Drosophila melanogaster: one gene and its partners. The protein of the gene in region 1 interacts with the protein of each later gene in a pairwise test. Each region holds a gene or a part of one and is shown in the gene's direction. Other genes may lie near its edges.

Region 1 (7,110 bases):
GTTCTTACGGCTTCCGTGTTGTCGATGAATGAGTCCGACTCATCGTAGCCCATTCCAATGTCCCGGTAGTCGTCCTTTTTGCTCTTCCCCCTGCCTGTGGCATAGGAGTTGCCATACTTGGCCTCCAGCTCCTTGACGATCCGTGCCACATCGTCATCGTTGTCGGCAAAGGGATCAGTGCTTGCGGAGCCATTGGTAGTGCTCACCTGCTTCAGCTTTTTGGTCTTTTTCTACGGATTGCAAGGGTTTAGAAAGCGATCCTCCAACTGAGTTATACACTCTTACCTTTTCCAAATACAAAAGCCGGGAGTAGTTAAACTCGGGATACTTGTTCGAATCGGTCTCGAACAGATCGAGTTTGATGCGGATGCACTTGGCAGTCTTTGTCGTGGGTTTGGAGCTGTTGTCGGGTGCAGCGGACGCAGCATCAGGCTCCAGGATGTTGCTGCCGAAGCGCGAGAAGCCCGCATCGCCCTGGATGATCGAGGTGAGGGTGACGCGCTTGTGCTCGCCCCCCTTTGACATTTCCGGCGGGCAGAGTTACGGATATTCAGTGGGATAGGGTTTCCTTTGAGCCGAAAGGGCCTTCCCGCCCTTTTTTTTCGAAAGAGCCGCGTGTTCTTCGTTGCTCTTTCCCTCTCTCTCTCTCGCAGCCAAACAAAAACAACAGAGACGTCGCTGCTGCTGATGCTCCTCCTCCTCCTTTTCCGCTGCTTCCTCTTCTTCTGGGGATGTCTGTTTTAGGTTTTCTGCACGTACACCAAGCAACCACAACCACTTAATAACCGTGGCAATTTCACTCTGAGCTGCACTTTCTTGTTGTCGCCCCACAAACACTGCTTTATCAACATAAACAAATGGCGAGGACCTGCGCCGGATTGCACTACTTTAATCGCCGCCCGCTTTGCAGCTGCATCCGCCGACCACGGCCACGAATAATTGTCACTTTTCTGGGGGAATGAAAAAGTGGAAACTTTTTGGGGGGTTTCAAATTGGTTGGCTTGCCGGCACGAAAACAACACAGTCTGTAAAAGCAGCGCACCGGGGATTAAACACACGCAATCGACGCTACCAAAGGGGACATTTAAACGATTCGACCAGGCGCTTTTCGCACGGCCAGGAGCGCGATTCTTAAATTGTTTCTTGTTAAAATCCTCAACGCTACATTCTCTCCGCTCCACCCCGCACCAAAGATCCGACCCTGCTTTTGGCTTTCGCACTCGCGTTGCGCAGCACTGGTCGCGGTTTTCGCAAATTACTCCGAGCCGTTCACACTGCGCGCAGCACAAGCCGAGACTTGCTGCGGCTGGCTGCATTTGGCAATATTTAGTTGTTATGGGTGCTATGTATTTCCAAAATTCCGTTAGTTAGAAATTCATTAGCTTGGCATCTAGCTCATTTTTAAAGTAAAGTTTCGAGCTACCAAGTTGATAGGTTACGTAAAATATATAGGTGGCTTATGCTGTTGTAAGCTTAATTGTTTAAAAAGGACCCAAAATCAAAATATAATGTAAACTTTTTTATAACTTACGCGGCTCTAAAACTTTCCAACAAGTAACGAGATCTGGCTTGAAAGCGGCCAACACTCGCACTAGCTTTTGTGCATCCCTGTGCAGTGCCACATTCCACACACATTTCTGCTTTGTTTTGACCAGAACGGGCCGTTGTGCAGCACTGTTCGGCACAGCTGTTCAGAGTATGGGGCCGCGGGTGGTGGGCAGATTTTCTTGGGGCGATTCAGTATTATTTCGATTGTGAAGGAGTTTACTTCGTAGAAAGTCAAGTGCTCGCCGTTTAATTAGCGCAAGTGCAAGTGAGTCGCAGTACGTGAGCTTGGGGGCTTAATTTCATGCGCCCGCTCCACAACAAAAACAAGCGAAACGAAAAGAGTTGCATGCACAGAAATTCGAATTCGGTCGAAACTGCAAGGTGTTATTATAACGGGAATGGCCAGTGCTCGTTATCGGGTGAAAACGATTAGGATTGTGCAATTAACAAAAGTGTGCCGTGCTGCTCTTTTCACAATCCAATCCAACCCAATCCCCAACTCCCCCACCCCCAATCCCCAAGTGGCACCACACAAACACTAGCACATAAACACTTATGCTGCCTTTATGCTTGCAGCCCCACTCGAGCTCTTTTATGTATGTATGTACATATTTATCCAACGAATGCAAGTGACCGACGTCCAAAGAGCAACGTACGGGATACGGAGCTCCGACAAAGGCTTCCCGCTTTCAGTGGTCCGGTGACTTTCGCCGGAGTAGTGACTCCGTCCCAGGAAACCAGCTAAACAAAAAGCCCCCAGCCGCTCGTAAAAAAGTGTCATGAGACAATAAAGGAACTTTAAGAAAGAAAGGAAAAGCGACGAGAAGAGTGGAGCTCCTTTGTTACATCTCTGGAAGAATCGTTCGGCTCCGAAGCAAAGGTGAGTAATACTGCTTCATTACGAAATTACGGGGCCTTGTACATTTGTAGTTCCAAAAAACAACAAGGGGAAATCGTTCATATGGGAAACAAGAGACTACCATTATAAGATAAGATCAGAACTGCGACTGCTTTCTTTTATCTCAAGTGACGTAGTCCAAGGTGAACACAGTAAACACTCGATGCAAGGACAACTTAGGTTTAAACCAGTTTTCTACACTACAAATTATGCAAATGGGTTAGATATCAAAACGAACACCCGTTTTCTTATCATGTCTACAAGTTTCTTTGCAAGAAAAAAAGGTTAGCTACTGAGAGTGTTGCCCGTAGCACTGCTTGAATGATAAACTCTACTCCCAGACATTGAAATTCCTACACCAAAATGGAGTTACGGCAATCGACCTTGAAACATGTGGCCCCAAATGCCTTGCCAACCCAAATTGGTTTCCCATTTTCTATGAAAACTTGTGTGTTTTTTTGGTAATTCATCTATTAAAGGCGGCAGCCAGTTTTTCATCTCAAATGGACAGAAGCCGCACACAAAAATAAAGCGATACACATAAACAATCAAACAACAGCAACAAGTGAGCGCACAAATTTAATTTGCTTTTTAATGCGTCATTATTGCCGATTTGCGACATGCTCGAGCTGCTTTACTGCTACCTCTTCGCAGATTTTCGCATCCCCAAGAGGTTCGTACAGTTGCGATCGCTATCGTTATCAGGGGAGCTCTTAAACCGAATGAGCGATACTTTATTTATTTCTGCTCTCTATTTGCTTTCATGATTAATTAAATGAGTCTGCTGTAGGAGAATGTATTAGCAATAATTATGGATAATTCACCAGCCCATCCAAAGCCATTCTTAAAGTTCATTTATCCAGTAGAAAACTTTGTTACAGAGCTAGGTTCATTGATCATTAAAAGGTTAAACAGTCTTATTCATAAACATAGGAAGAAATATTATTTAATTGTGGTTCAATCCAAAAGGGATCGTTGGCCGCCTGTCGTTGATATAATCAAACCGCACTTTGTCGCCGACAATTTCATTTACTCATCGTACTTTCCCCAACCAAACTAACAAATAAACTAGAACAAAAAGAGCCGCTGGTGGTTGGCTTCACCGCCAACACGACCACCCACTACAGATTCGGTTTTCCATTTTTAAAACAATGACGCATGCACGGAAATAAATTACATGATATACGCCTGACAATCTCATTACCTAGAGACGACGACCCATCGATAGTGGCTCTATGTATATACATACATAAAACACTCGGTTCTTCTTGGACTCTTTCAGTAGAGAGCGATGACGGAAAGCGTGGAGCTGATGAACAAGTACGGCGAGCCACTGCGCTACGACCGGAACTTCACGGGACCGAGGCAGAGGGATCGCAGCTGCACGGATGTGCCCTGCCTGCTGTTATTCGTCCTCTTCCTGGGCGGATGGGCCTTCATAGCCCAATACGCCATCAGGAACGGCGATCTCAACAAACTGCTGGTGCCCACGGACTCCTTTAACCGAAAGTGTGGCATGGACTCCGGAGTGCTGAACAAGAAAAACCTATTCTTTTTCGACTTGAATCAGTGCATCGATCCACTTGTACCCATCACTGGATGTGACACTCCACAGGTGAGATACCATTAACATCAAATTTGCAAGGAGTTGATCTTACTTTTAATGAAATACGTATTTCAACAGGTTTGTGTGGAGACTTGTCCCCGAGAGACGTTCGTCTGGGACACTATGAAGGACAAACAAAGTTTTGCGGAGCTGCATAGTCGCCTCATCTGCTTGTCGGAGGAGCACAAGGCGCAGATTCGCACCAAATCGGACATTCAGGATGCCATTAACCAGAACCAGTGCGCACGCTGGTACATCAAGAGTGCTCCATTCCTCAAACGATGCCTCTTCGAGTTCTCGCAGGGCGTGTGTGATTATATTCCCTCGTTTCTGCTAAATGGGGGAAGGTCGAGGCGGGAGCTGCATATGTTGCCCGGAAACGCCACCACAGAAGTTCAAATGCAGGCCGATGTCATGTACCAGAAAATGACGGATGCCCAGGCTCTCGTTGTTCCACAGGCGAATGGCAAACAGACTCCAGTGGACGAGGAACCGATCATCCAGTGCAAGCGCAGACTCAACGAGGCTGTCATCAAGGAGAAGATGATGCAGACCGATACGAGGCTGGCCAAGCTCGTTGGTAACATGGTGGCCCACTTCTACAATGGCACAAACGACGCCCAGCTTTTGGGAGAAAAGATTGTCGAGGATCTTGTCAACTCCTGGTCGATCGTTTTGGTGGCTTGCTTCTGCACCCTGGTAGCCTCACTGATCTACATCGCTCTAATGCGCTGGCTCTCGGCTCCGATTCTCTGGTTCTCCATCTTCGGCGTGCTTATCGGCTTGCTGGTGGGTATTTACTTCTCCGTAAAGCAGTACATCCACTGGGAGAATACGCCTACGGTTCCCGTACACGGCTTGAATCTACACTCCACGGTCAAGAATGTCCTGCAAAACCAGAACACCTGGCTCTACCTGTCCATCTTCGTAGGCGTGTGCTTCGTGGTTATCCTGTTGCTGGTAATTGTGCTAAGAAAGCGCATCCGGATAGCGATCGCCCTAACCAAGGAGGGCAGCAAGGCGGTGAGCAGCGTGATCAGCACCGTGTTCTTTCCCATCTTCTCCTGGATACTCTTCATTGCCGCCATAGCGTTTGCCATTGGCGTGGGCCTGTATCTGGGCTCAATTGGCGATCCTTCGTTTAGAATGGTGCGACAGCTGACGAAAAGTGGCGAAGTGACCACCGAGGACTGCGTCTGCGAAGGTCCAGCCATCAACTACACAGTGGGCGGATCCTGCAAGCCAGAAGTGTTCCAGCAATATTGTAGCGTTCGGCTGACCTCATTTTTCCAGAACCGAAACCCTTGCTTGAACACCACCTGCAGCTTTGACTCGATTAACAATCCAATCGAGATTAAGTGGGCCATCTTCTACAACGTCTTTGGCTTCCTCTGGCTGAGCTTCTTCATCTCCGCCTTCAGCTACATGGTGCTGGCCTCGACCTTCGCCCGATGGTACTGGACCTTCAAAAAGAGGGATGTGCCCTACTTCACCCTTACAAGGGCATTCTTTCAAACTGCTGTCTACCATCTGGGCACCGTGGCCTTTGGTTCGCTCATCCTGGCCATCGTCCGGCTGATCCGTCTGGTGCTGGAGTACATCCACGAGAAGCTGAAGAAGTACGACAATGCGGTGACACGAGCCATCCTCTGCTGCATGCGCTGCTTCTTCTGGTTGCTGGAGACCTTCCTGAAGTTCCTCAATCGGAATGCCTACATCATGTGCGCCATTCATGGCAAGAACTTCTGCTCCAGTGCCGCGGACTCGTTTAATCTGATTATGAGGAACTTCCTGCGTGTGGTGACGCTGGATCAGGTCACGGACTTTTTGTTCTTTTTGTCGAAACTGCTGCTAACCGCAGGGGCGGGGGCGTCCACCTACTACTTCCTGGACAATAATCCGAGCATTATTCGGCTAAATTACATAGCAGTGCCCACCACGGTGGTGGTAATTGCCGCCTTTCTCATAACGAGCGTGTTTTTCGGTGTGTACTCGACGGCAGTGGACACACTGTTTCTGTGCTTCCTGGAGGACTGCGAGCGCAACGACGGCTCACCGGAGAAGCCGTTCTTCATGTCCAAGCAGCTAATGAAGATTCTTGGCAAGAAGAACAATCTGCCGCCGCGTCAGCGCCGCGGAAAGTAGGAGACAGCAGTGCAAATTATAACTTTATTGAAGTAAAACATATATATATATATTTATTATAGCCCAAAACGAAACGATCGGGGTTGTGAGCGATTGCTCAACCGGCTGCAATTGGGTTTGCATTAAATGCACGCTCCTTTGCCAATACTCTTAATCTTTAATCTAGTGTATATAATACGCCAGTATCCGTATCCATATGTAAAGTTTTTTGTGCGGCTAGACATGTGATAGGCGCGGACCATAAAGACCAAAAGTAATACCATACAATAACATGTATACAGAGACACAAAAGTACATATCTCACATTCATGAAGTTTAAGTTAACGATAATTATTATAATTTTCGAATTTAATAAAAATGAATTCATTGAAGACACACTTTTCAGTTTTGTTCTTATTTTATTTCTCCATCATTATATTCACTCATTTTTTTTTATTTTTATACAATTTGTTTCATACTTTTGCCGTTCATTCATCTAGAACGCTCAACCCACTCATTTCAGAAAGTCTGATTTTGCAAGGATGTAACAGATCGCTGAAGCCGCAATGAAGAACAATAGCTATAAGATATGACTTTTAAAAGTATATATATAATAAACCTTAATACTGCCTCAAAGGTTGTTTATTTCAATAATAATCTTAAGTCCTGAAACTCGAATTTCGAAAAGCCTGGTATACTTATAGATGTATTTAAAAGAAGAAAATTGCTTTCAAGCTGAAAGATTTTAGTTTTAATTTCATATGGGTAATATTAAAAACTAAAGTAAAAAGTATATTTCGTTTAAAAACCTCATAACCAATTAGAAAAAGAATACAAAATCTATTACCTAAACAATATTGGCCATTCGCGATTCCCGTGGACTAAAAGATAATATCCTTGAGCACGCTATCGCTGATGTTCTGCAGGTCATCCT
Region 2 (3,098 bases), about 22 Mb from region 1:
CGCATGGGTGTTTACAATTGGGCGACGGTGTACGCAGGGGCGGTGTACCGCAGAGGCGTGGCATAGGCAGCGGTACGCAGAACGGGAGCGGGAGCAGCCACCGCCAGAGGGGCGGAGCGGACGAACGGAGCGGCAACTGCTAGGGGAGCGGACTTGATCAGAGGAGCAGCGACGGCCACTGGAGCGGAGCGCACAATGGGAGCTGGTGCGGCCAAGGCGACAGGGGCGATGGGGGCGACTGGAGCGGCCTTGACCAATGGGGCAGCAACCTTCAGCAACGGCTCGGCGGCCACAACAGCGGCAAGGGGTTCACGGCGGACGACGGCGTTGAATCCGTTAATGGAATCGGCGGTATAGGTCACGGTGCGCTTAAAGCCATCGGCGTCGATCAGGGAGTACTCGCCGCGGACCACGTCACCATCGCGCTCCTCCACATGCCCCTTGTTGTCGCCGGAAAGCGTGTCCTGCACGTCGTAGCTGTAGGTGTACTGAGGATGCGGATCAACCTCCTCCAACTCAACGGTCTTGGCCAAAACTGGCACCGGAGCAGAAGCCACTGCCACTGGAGCAGCAGTTCTAAGGACGGCGCCATGGGCCACGGCGAACAGAGCCAAAGCGATAACAATCTGCGGAATAAATTACACTCTTTTTAGGATTTTTTTTTCCAAGATAAAAAGGCGAAGGCAGTCTGGTAATCCACTAGTAGTCCCCCGGAACGTTTATCCTCCAATTGGTAGCACAAACCTTTGCTGCCATTGTAGTTGGATGAATTTGATTAACTGCTGTCTTGAGCCGAAGCCAAACACTGAATGTCTGACCCATTGTGGGCCGTTTATTTTATACGCTACTTGGTGACATTGATGACACCTAATTGGAATTCATTTTTGGCGCATCACCTCGAGCGGCGCCGGTGGCATGTAAAAATTGTCACGCACCTTCTTCAGTTCTGCCAATTTCGATCGGTCGAAATAACCAGCTGCACTTAATTGATTACGCCAAGCCAATTTTAATTACTATTTTCCTTAAACTTGGAGTCTTCTTATTCAATTTTGTTGTTTTTCTTTTGGAAAGTACAACAAAGTAAGTGTGTATAATTGAACCCATTTTTTATAAAAAGGGAATAAAAGTTCTGATCTTATTTGTTTAAATATTTGCTAGTCAAATTATTAAATACGTTTTGAGTTTGTATCCATAGGTTTGTCTTGGTGAGGTATAATGAATATTTTATGTTGGGATCATAATTTGATTATTATGTATTTAAAACACATTTCCTACAAAGTTGTATAATTTTATTAACCTACATAAAATATTACAAATATGTTACAAAAAAAAGTTTTAAGCATGTTAAAAAGCTGTTCGCCTGTGAACTATCTTCAAATTTTGGAAACCAAAGGTGGGTGATAAAAAATAATAATTTTAATTTAATAAAGCTACGATAATTTAGATGTTTTGAGTTAATATCTTTTTAAGCGACCTTTTTGCCACAATATTAACTGTCTTGTAAGCTAACTGGATTTAGTAAGCAGTGATGTCACAGCGCACGCTCTCCGTTTCTCTCGGATAAATTGAAGTTATTTGATGACAAAACACAGAGATACAAAGATTGAGCACGCCTTCAAGCTTCACTTTTCCCTCTCCACACACGTTTAGCATAAATGAATTGCACTAATTACGCCAAGAGCGTGGCCCGCCGGCAAAAGCGAGTTCGGCCATTCAATGGTAGCAGCAGCTGAAGAAATAGCTCCATCTCGGTATATAAGCCAAGTGTTGGCCCAGTAGCCCTCACAGTTCATTTTGCCTTCCAACAACCAACAGCAGCAGCAGCAGCAGCCAAATCAATCCAAATCAAAATGGCATTCAAGGTTCGCCCCGAGGACTTAGCCCCGCCAAAGACCCACATCCTAACTGCTTTCCCTCTTTCAGTTCATCGCCCTCTTCGCCCTGATCGCCGCCGCCAGCGCCGGTGTTCTGCCCGTCCAGCAGGTGTACCACGCCGCCCCCGCCGTGGCCACCTACGCCCAAGCACCTGTCGCCGTTGCTCACGCCCAGCCGGTTCTTGCCAAGGCCGCCGAGGAGTACGATCCCCATCCCCAGTACAAGTACGCCTACGATGTTCAGGACTCCCTCTCCGGAGACTCCAAGAGCCAGGTGGAGGAGCGCGATGGCGACGTGGTCCGCGGAGAGTACTCCCTGATCGACGCCGATGGCTACAAGAGAACCGTCCAGTACACCGCCGATCCCATCAACGGATTCAACGCCGTTGTCAACCGTGAGCCCCTGGTCAAGGCCGTCGCCGTTGCCCCCGTTGTGAAGACCGTCGCCGCTCCCGTTGCCCACTACGCCGCCCCTGCTGTCGCCCATTACGCTGCTCCCGCTGTGGTCAAGACCGTGGCTCCGGTTGCCCACTACGCTGCTCCCGCCGTGGTCAAGACCGTGGCTCCAGTTGCCCACTACGCCGCTCCTGCTACCTACACCTCCTACGCCGCCCCCGCTGTTGCCTACCACCACTAAGAACTGTCATTTTACGTTTCTCAACCCATTACTGTTATAGTTTTACAATTGCCTCCTACAAATACACACAAATATTAAAAAAAATTTTTTTTTTTATTTTCATCTATTGATCATCTATTTTCATCAACGGCAGCTGAAACAATTTCGGATTTGTTTTATCCGGATAAAATTGAGTCAAGGAGATAGCGTCTTCATTAATGACATTCTAATGTGTTTCAATTAGATGTGTTAGCCATATTTAATACCTATAAAAAATACTGCAAAATCTTTACAAAAATAAAAAAAAAATCTCAAATATTTTGTTTAAATAATATGTGCAATTTTAAAACCATCAGCTTATATTTTTGATTGCATTAGATATTTTTATATTGATAGGGTATTGATGAAGTTATGATTAAAACTAACAGAGTCAACATAAAAAAGTTAATTCTTGAGAGTTATAGATATAACAATATTATTTTAAATATTTTTTTAAAAATGTATGATATGTTTATACCCTGCGCGTCTATCTAATCAAACTAAGCTTAATAAAATATGCAGTTGATAATAGACTATCAGATACGCTTTAGATATCATCAGCAAGTTTT
Region 3 (7,783 bases), on another chromosome or scaffold:
GGGCATTTCACTATTCCTAAAACAAAATCCGTCCATATTTTCCGCCTTTTATAATTGTTCCGATTGGTGTACCAGTTTAAAAAGAAACAAATTTGTATTATGAGGTTTTGGTCCAATTTCCACTTGTATTAGTACACAAACCATATTTTAGTTATCAACAATAATAATAATTAATATTATTTTGTATTTAATTTCCAGAATTCATGGAGATGATGACTGGCGAGTAAGCATTGTGGACCCAACGTATCTCATAATTGTCTACCCCCCAACACCCGAGGCTTGAATAAACGTTTTGTATTTTATTTCTACGATTGAGTAATCATAATTACGCTATAAATAATCCGCTCGTTCAGGAACCGATTGAGTAGAAAAACCCAAAGCGCGGCAAACATTCTATGGCTGCAGTGCATCTGCATCCGAGTTGAGTCATCTTAATTGCCAATTGCCACCCTCTGGCGTGCGGATTATTATTAAATTTCAATGTTTGTGCAATGGGCTGGGAGTGGGCGTGGCCGCTCTGCTCATTTGTGTGTTAATTTGGCAAGGCCATTCGGCGTATGAGTGATGCATGTTGCGCATACGCAACGTGGCCAGATGCATGCGGAGTTCTTTGTTTCAATCTTTCCGCTATTACTTGCGGCAGTGCGTGCACATTCCGTTTGCCACTTGACTGGCGTTCTGGTCCGCACAGCTGTGACCATCCCAAGCAGAATAAGGCCCACTGACAACCTGCTAGATTTTTGCCTTTCCAAACAGCCAATGTAGTATATCATAGCTATGCATGCAGGCTGGCAAATGTCAATGAGCATTCTCCTTGTTGCCAAAAGATGTCAAGCATTTACGCTAAACTTGGCCGCCGCGACATGCAGTGAGTTTGTTTTCCCAAATTCAGCGAAAAGAAGCAACTGCCCTTTCTGAAAAGTTAGCGAAAAAAAAGGAGAAGGGGCTTGGGGCAGATCGATGTGGATGGGTTGGGGTTTGGATGTTGCCACCAAGTGGAGCAACTTGTTTTGCGCAATGCTTAGTCTTTCGGCCGGAGGGTGTCGATATTAGTGGTATTTATTACCGCTTCGAATCCAGTTTTCAGTTTTTACCCAATCATTAGGTGAAAGGTCACAGACTGGACCTGGACGCCCTGTGAAAGAGCTGAAAATGTGGCGGATTGTGTTGGGTGTCAGATTTATTGACATCCGCCTGGGCAGACTTCTCAATATGCGATTCTTGACACCGAGCGCATTAAAACGGTTTCCCAAACGTGCAATTCAATGGAGATGAAGCTGAATGATGATGATGCGCTCGAGCGTTGAGCGTTTCGATTGGATTCCAATTTACGAGCACCACCAGCAGCAGTTGCTTGCTTGCTAATTTTTACCCACTAACCGAGGAGAGATGTGGCTGAGAGCGTTTGTTTAACAAGACAAGGTACATTGAGTAAACGAGATGCCGCCGTTGAGACAATAGTCAAAATGCATGGGCTTGCGGATGAGGATGCGGGGGCACCACCACCTCCTCCTCCCTTTTTCGTGCGATTGTTTTCTGCCCCAGCTGGGGACGGAGCCTCAGCTAGCACCACCACCATCACCACCACAGCTGCACACGATTGCAATAAATGCCATAAAGTATCAAAATCTCAGCACTCGCTCAGCACCGAGCTCCAAGCTGCAAGCGGCAAGCTCCGGCTGCAGTTTTCGTTCATTCCATTCCATTTGATTGCATTTGGCGCCAAACCAAGTATAAAAGCTGGAGAACTTGGGCTGCGATCGGCACACAAGTACCGTGACATTCGAGGAGCCACAACACGACACGCGGAGGCACTGCATCGCTGGTGCGGCAAAGGACTTACGTGGATTAACCCAGCTTTGTGGATAAATTAAGCAGTGGATAAATTGTGGGTGCGCCAAGGATTCTTCTTCTTAATCCTCGATCGAAACAATCAAAAGATTGCTGTCATGGCTCTTAAGTGGGTAAGTTCAGTGAAAGAGGAAAGTAACTTTGGGTTAGAAAATTCAAAAGATCCAAGTGTTCTAATGAAGAGTCCTTTGAAACTCCATATGCTGTTGTGGTTAGAAATTATTGTAGAGCTTTACTAATTTTTCCCGAAAAGTATCCTTCTTGAGATAATGACCTAGATTCAAAAATATATTTCAATGTTTGAATATAATATTCATATTTATATTCATATTTTCCGTTTTTATTCTTTTCGGATTTTTTACATTCATTACATTTTTACATTTTACATTCGAATGCAAAGATCTTAATGCTTCAAATTTAATTAAATTGATTTCATTACCCAATTTAATTTAAATGAAAGTAAAGTTACGAATTTTACCTTAGAATAAAGACATTCAATTATTTTAGTCTAGGGAATTGTCTCATCAGAAATCTGTATTAAATTGGCATAGGAATATTCTTATTCATCAAGAGTTTATAACTTTTCAGGAAACTTTGATTTAGTTAATTATTTAATCTCAACTTGGCAACTCATAAAATTCCGCGAAAAAGAACATGCCTAAACAATAGGCCACTGGAGTGTCCCATCTTGGATATTTTAGCACAGCCAAGGGTTTCCCCATTGCACTTAGCATATCCGATTGTCTTGAAAAGATCGAGTAATCCCCGTGAAACGCATAAATTAACAGCCCATTTGCAATCGGAGATGGTGGATGGCACGCAAAGTTGCCCAAGATGGTTTGGTCGTGGCCGATCCGCCCCGCCTCCAAAGCAGATCATCGAAATGGAAGCAGTGGCGACCCAATTGGCAGCCCATTTGCAATAACCGCAATTATATTTGCGGTTGCGAAACGCTGTCGAAGATGTCTGCTAGGTGGTCACGAACTCCAAGAGGCTCTCACAGACTCCTCAAGATATTCCGGCCCAAGGGGCAGGCGTTGCTTGTTTCGGTTGCATGTGCCACAGTCGCCGGATGAGTCAGTGTGGCAAATGTCAGAATTTCCACAATATTACATTATTACACTGCCCGGCTGTGGCGACAAGTGAGCTCATCATCGTGCCAATCGATGGAGCTGTTAGGTTTATGGCCCAATGGAATTCGTAAACGGTTTAAACTTCAACTTGACACTCGCTGGTCCGCTCCGCTTAGCCAACCTTCCCAGCCAGCAATTCTCTGTGGCACTCTCGGTTCACACGCTGCTGCATCTTCAGACGTCTTCTGTCTAACAAGAAGTCCATAAATATCATAGTTCGCCTCAGGCTGAGACAATGATGAGCCAGCCCGATGTTGATACTATAGTCAAGAGTCCCCGCTGCACTTGCAGCCTTAATGGGCGACGACGATCGGTTGCAACAATGGAAAACGTGAGCGGATCGGATTGCGTCGTTCTGTCAATGGACAAATGCTTCATTGATGAAATGGCCGACATTTGGCCACACTCTTGACCCCTTTGGAGGTTCCCAGCGGCGGGGTCATGATACCCACTTGGCCGAGATGTGTATCAGGGCTTAATTAACAGCAGAAACAATTCAAGGTTCTTCTTGTAATTTGAAGTTTGGAAAAAGCTTATCGTTTATTTTTGGAACGAACCATTGCTGTTTAACTTAAAATACACATTTATTACAAATAATTACCAAAATGCTATCATGAGTAAAGTACAGTTGTAAAAAATGACATAATGTTAGTAAGACATTAAAAATCGTTTAAAAGTATTTCTTAATACGAATAATTCGAAAATAATAATTTTCAGACGCTTAACATTATTTTAAGTTTAAATACGTCCTTGTGCTCAAGCAACAAAAGTTTATTCGAATAACACTTTTTATGGCGGTCGTTAAATGACTATTTCATTACATTTAGCAGCCTTTTTTCATGTTATCTTCAGATTTATGAATTAGCCGCAGTTAATGAAGTTAAATTTTAAACAATTAGCCACCCCTGCGATTTTTCACTGGCATTTATTTTGCAATCAAATAAGTCAACACGCCAAAGATTCGCTTCAGGCCAAATTGAGAACGTGGATCGCGATGGAAGATGCTGGATTCGCATGAACTTTCCATGTGCTTGCATAAATTTGTGAACTTACCGGGCAATCCCTACCTGCAACGATCTTTTTCAGGCTCTGGTGATCACGACGCTGGTGGTTGCCCAAGCAGCCAAGCTGGATAACAAATACCTGCCCCCACCTGCAAGTGCGGCCAGTGCGGGCGGCAGTCCGGGAGCAGGGCTTCAGGGCCCAGGAGGTGGCTTCGGCGGAGGTGGAGGATTCGGTGGCGGCGGAGCGGGTGGAGGTTATGGAGGAGGCGGCGGTGGCGGACCAGCTGGCGGCTTCGGTGGAGGACCAGGCGGTGGCGGTGCTGGTGGCTTTGGTGGTGGTAATAACGGACTTGGTGGCTTCGCAAACGGAAGACCCATTGCACCTGGCGGCGGCGGCGGAGGCGGCGGAGCACCCGCTCCACGCCCCAGTCCGTCAGGTGGCGCGCCACCAACTTCTGGACCTCCCATTCCGATCCTCTCATTTGTCAACGAGAACGACGGCGATGGCAACTACCGTTTCAGCTACGAGACTGGAAATGGTATAAAGGCCCAGGAGGAGGGCACCGTTAAGAACAAGGGATCTGAGAATGAAATCCCATCCGTGATGGGCTCATACTCCTACACAAATCCCGAAGGTGAACTCGTCGAGATCATGTACACGGCGGATGAGAATGGCTTTGTGCCCTCGGGCAACGCCCTGCCCACTCCACCGCCCATTCCGGAAGCGATAGCCAAATCTCTGGCTGCCCAGGGCATCTCCATACTGCCGGGTGGTGGATACAGTGGCGGTCCTGGAGGACAGGGTAAGTTTCTACAAAATAAATCAATGGATTAACATTCCATTTCATTGCTCACTTTTGATTGCAGGAGCAGGTGGCGGCGGAGGCGGTGGTTCGGGATATGGAGGCGGATCCGGATTTGGAGGCGGCGGCGCAGGAGGAGGATCCGGTGGAGGCGGAGGTGGAGCAGGAGGTGGCGGTGGATATGGATCAGGTAAGATACGAATTCAAGTCACATTTTGACCCTTTTTCTTTTTTTAGTCTTTTTTGACTTTAACTTTGATTATTTTTAGGAGGCGGCAGTGGTCGTGGAGGAGCACCAGGAGGTCCAGGTAACGACTGATTTATTTATACAATTTTTAAAAATGTTAACCCCTATTAGATTAATTTAATACTTTATCGATTCGTTTGCTTCTTTAGGTGCGCCAGGTGGAGGCGGATTCGGAGGTCAAGGTAAGTTATGTTCCAACGGCTTACACATGGATCTAAAATACTATTTATTTTTTAGGAGGTGGAGGAGGCTATGGAGGAGCTGGTGGCGGAGCTGGTCGTGGTGGTTCCCCAGGAGGTCCTGGTAAGTCCTTTTTCTAGATGAAATTTATTGTTCCTAAAGAAAATCCGTCTTAATTCACTTCATGAATTTATATTTATTTTCATATATTTCAGGATCACCTGGCGGCGGCGGATTTGGTGGTCAAGGAGGTGCTGGCGGCGGTTATGGTGGTGGCGGCGGCGGAGGACGCGGCGGTGGCGGAGCACCAGGAGCTCCCGGTAAGTTAACGAAAAGTGTTACTCCATAGATACTCAAAACTAATAACTTACTTCAACTAAAGGATCACCTGGCGGTGGAGGTTTCGGAGGTCAAGGTAAGTGATCCCGCCTGACTTTGCGGTTCAAGTTAAAACTATATACACTTTCCAGGTGGAGGCGGAGGATTCGGAGGTGGCGGCGGACGCGGCGGTGCTCCTGGCGCTCCCGGTGAGTTCATGATTTCATTCACTTTATATAATAGATAACACATTGCTTATTTTCAGGATCACCAGGCGGAGGCGGATATGGTGGCCAGGGAGGTGCTGGCGGCGGCTATGGAGGCGGCGGCGGTCGCGGTGGTGGTGGAGCACCAGGTGCGCCAGGAGCACCAGGATCCCCAGGTGGTGGCGGATTCGGAGGTCAAGGTAAGGGATTTTAAAACTTACTGCACATTCACCTCGAATAATACATTCATCTTGTAGGAGGTGGTGGCGGATTCGGAGGAGGTGGTGGTCGTGGAGGTGCCCCAGGAGCTCCAGGTGAGTACAAAACATAAATTGTTTGTTACTGAAAATAAGGAATTATTAATTAATAGGATCGCCTGGTGGAGGAGGATTTGGCGGTCAAGGTTAGTTAGCAAAACAATATTCCAGTTGCAGGTCTTAAGTAAAACATCTTCATCTTGTAGGTGGGGGTGGCGGATACGGAGGCGGCGCCGGTCGTGGTGGTGCTCCTGGAGCTCCTGGTAAGTCGATTTTAATATCTGCCTAGTGGCTTTAAAAACATACCATTCGTGTTTCGCAGGCTCTCCCGGAGGAGGAGGATTCGGAGGCCAAGGTTAGTAACTTAGTAACAGTACACTGTGCATTCCACAAAACTTACGAAATTCTTCAAGTTTCCGACTACTTGTTAAACTGTGTTATAAATATTATAATAATTAAAGTAATATTTATTTTTTAGGAGGTGGTGGTGGCTTTGGCGCCGGCGGTGGTCGCGGTGGAGCTGGAGGAGCACCCGGTGGACCCGGTGAGTAACATTGGTTTTTGTGATGAAGAGGTCACTCTCCCAATTTGTCACAACATATAGATGGTATTTACATTTTTTAATGTAGGATCTCCAGGCGGTCCAGGTTATGGAGGAGGTGCCGGTGGACCGGGTAAGAAGCATTATAGTTATAAACCCGGTTTTACAATCTGTGTGATTGCAATTGTAAAACTTGAATTAGCCTCATTCATCTTCATGAGAAAATGATGTGAAGAGCTACACTAGACAAGTGCTATTCCCACACATTTCAGTTTTTTTATTTTGACAATTCTTGTTTGGCAAAGCCTTGGTCTATTGTTTTACCCACGATCGACTAACGATCTTTCATGCATAAAACATTTCGGCTTGCACGCGGTCTCTTTGAAGTCGCTAGATTATAATAATTTTAAAGACTGCTTTAAATAATTACAACTAATCAAAGAGGGTTTACATAAATTTAATGCCACTCTAATCGCGATTGTTTCCATTTTTTATCTAGGAGGCGCCGGTGGACGTCCAGGCGGACCAGGATTGCCCGGCAATCAGTATGTTCCACCAGCGGCTGGTGGCGGAGCACCCGGCTCGCCAGGCAGACCAGGATCGGGAGGAGTTCCCGGCACAGGATCACAGTACATTCCACCTGCTCCGGGAGCGCCGGGCGGAGGTCGTGGAAACGGAGAGTTCAATCCTCAGACGGGCTATAGCTACTAAAATCAGAATTTATTCCAAAACGCCAATCAAATCTCTCAAATCGAAGAAACGTCATTTCCGTGCAGGCTGCCCTCAATGTTCTTTCGCTAAAACAATTAATTTATTTATATAAGCTTACCTCCCTCTTCCACTCTGACAATGTGTGTGTGCAACTATCGAAATAAATGATTATTATAAAATATTTGCTTATCATTTTGCGCCGCGTAAGCTGCGGAAATTGAAACAAACTGCTTGACTTTTCAGATGCATGTATTTCATGCCTTTGAGTTGCGACTACATCTTCAAACTAATCAATCATTTAAATGACATTAATTTGTCGTTATTTCTTTGGGGACTTCTTGAAGCGTCTGCCGTACTGATTATAGCCATATGGATCCACCAGGTTGTTCGGTCTGCCCCTCAGTTGTTGGGTGATTAGGGCCTGTTGCTGCTGCTCGTTTTGCTGCTCCTTCTGCTGCTGTTGCTGCTGCTGCTGTTGTTGCTGCTGCTGCTGCTGTTGCTGGTTGAGATTCTGCTGCTGTTGTGCCTGTTG

The links. The genes of interacting proteins can lie anywhere in the genome.
Region 2: the proteins of Ctl2 (region 1) and Ccp84Ad interact in a two-hybrid assay, tested with the Drosophila melanogaster proteins (one large-scale study listed by BioGRID).
Region 3: the proteins of Ctl2 (region 1) and Cpr47Ef interact in a two-hybrid assay, tested with the Drosophila melanogaster proteins (one large-scale study listed by BioGRID).

What each region holds. Positions count from the first base shown.
Region 1 is NT_033777.3:29,121,677-29,128,786, forward strand, and holds Ctl2 (choline transporter-like 2), read left to right. Parts: upstream 1-1,693; 5' UTR 1,694-1,813; exon of another isoform or gene 1,814-2,124; 5' UTR 2,125-2,428; intron 2,429-3,728; exon of another isoform or gene 3,729-3,731; 5' UTR 3,732-3,737; coding exon 3,738-4,061; intron 4,062-4,130; coding exon 4,131-6,197; 3' UTR 6,198-6,571; downstream 6,572-7,110. Other genes in the region: yem (yemanuclein), read right to left, coding at 9-230, 286-525; dgt6 (dim gamma-tubulin 6), read right to left, coding at 7,058-7,110.
Region 2 is NT_033777.3:6,690,948-6,694,045, forward strand, and holds Ccp84Ad (Ccp84Ad), read left to right. Parts: upstream 1-1,784; 5' UTR 1,785-1,850; coding exon 1,851-1,862; intron 1,863-1,923; coding exon 1,924-2,511; 3' UTR 2,512-2,580; downstream 2,581-3,098. Other genes in the region: Ccp84Ae, read right to left, coding at 12-626, 745-756.
Region 3 is NT_033778.4:11,266,558-11,274,340, reverse strand, and holds Cpr47Ef (cuticular protein 47Ef), read left to right. Parts: upstream 1-1,765; 5' UTR 1,766-1,949; coding exon 1,950-1,964; intron 1,965-4,070; coding exon 4,071-4,791; intron 4,792-4,855; coding exon 4,856-4,981; intron 4,982-5,060; coding exon 5,061-5,099; intron 5,100-5,187; coding exon 5,188-5,220; intron 5,221-5,275; coding exon 5,276-5,341; intron 5,342-5,433; coding exon 5,434-5,538; intron 5,539-5,600; coding exon 5,601-5,633; intron 5,634-5,688; coding exon 5,689-5,745; intron 5,746-5,801; coding exon 5,802-5,942; intron 5,943-5,999; coding exon 6,000-6,056; intron 6,057-6,112; coding exon 6,113-6,145; intron 6,146-6,205; coding exon 6,206-6,262; intron 6,263-6,321; coding exon 6,322-6,354; intron 6,355-6,477; coding exon 6,478-6,543; intron 6,544-6,628; coding exon 6,629-6,673; intron 6,674-7,039; coding exon 7,040-7,251; 3' UTR 7,252-7,426; downstream 7,427-7,783. Other genes in the region: TpnC47D (troponin C at 47D), read left to right, coding at 199-227; Cpr47Ee (cuticular protein 47Ee), read right to left, coding at 7,571-7,783.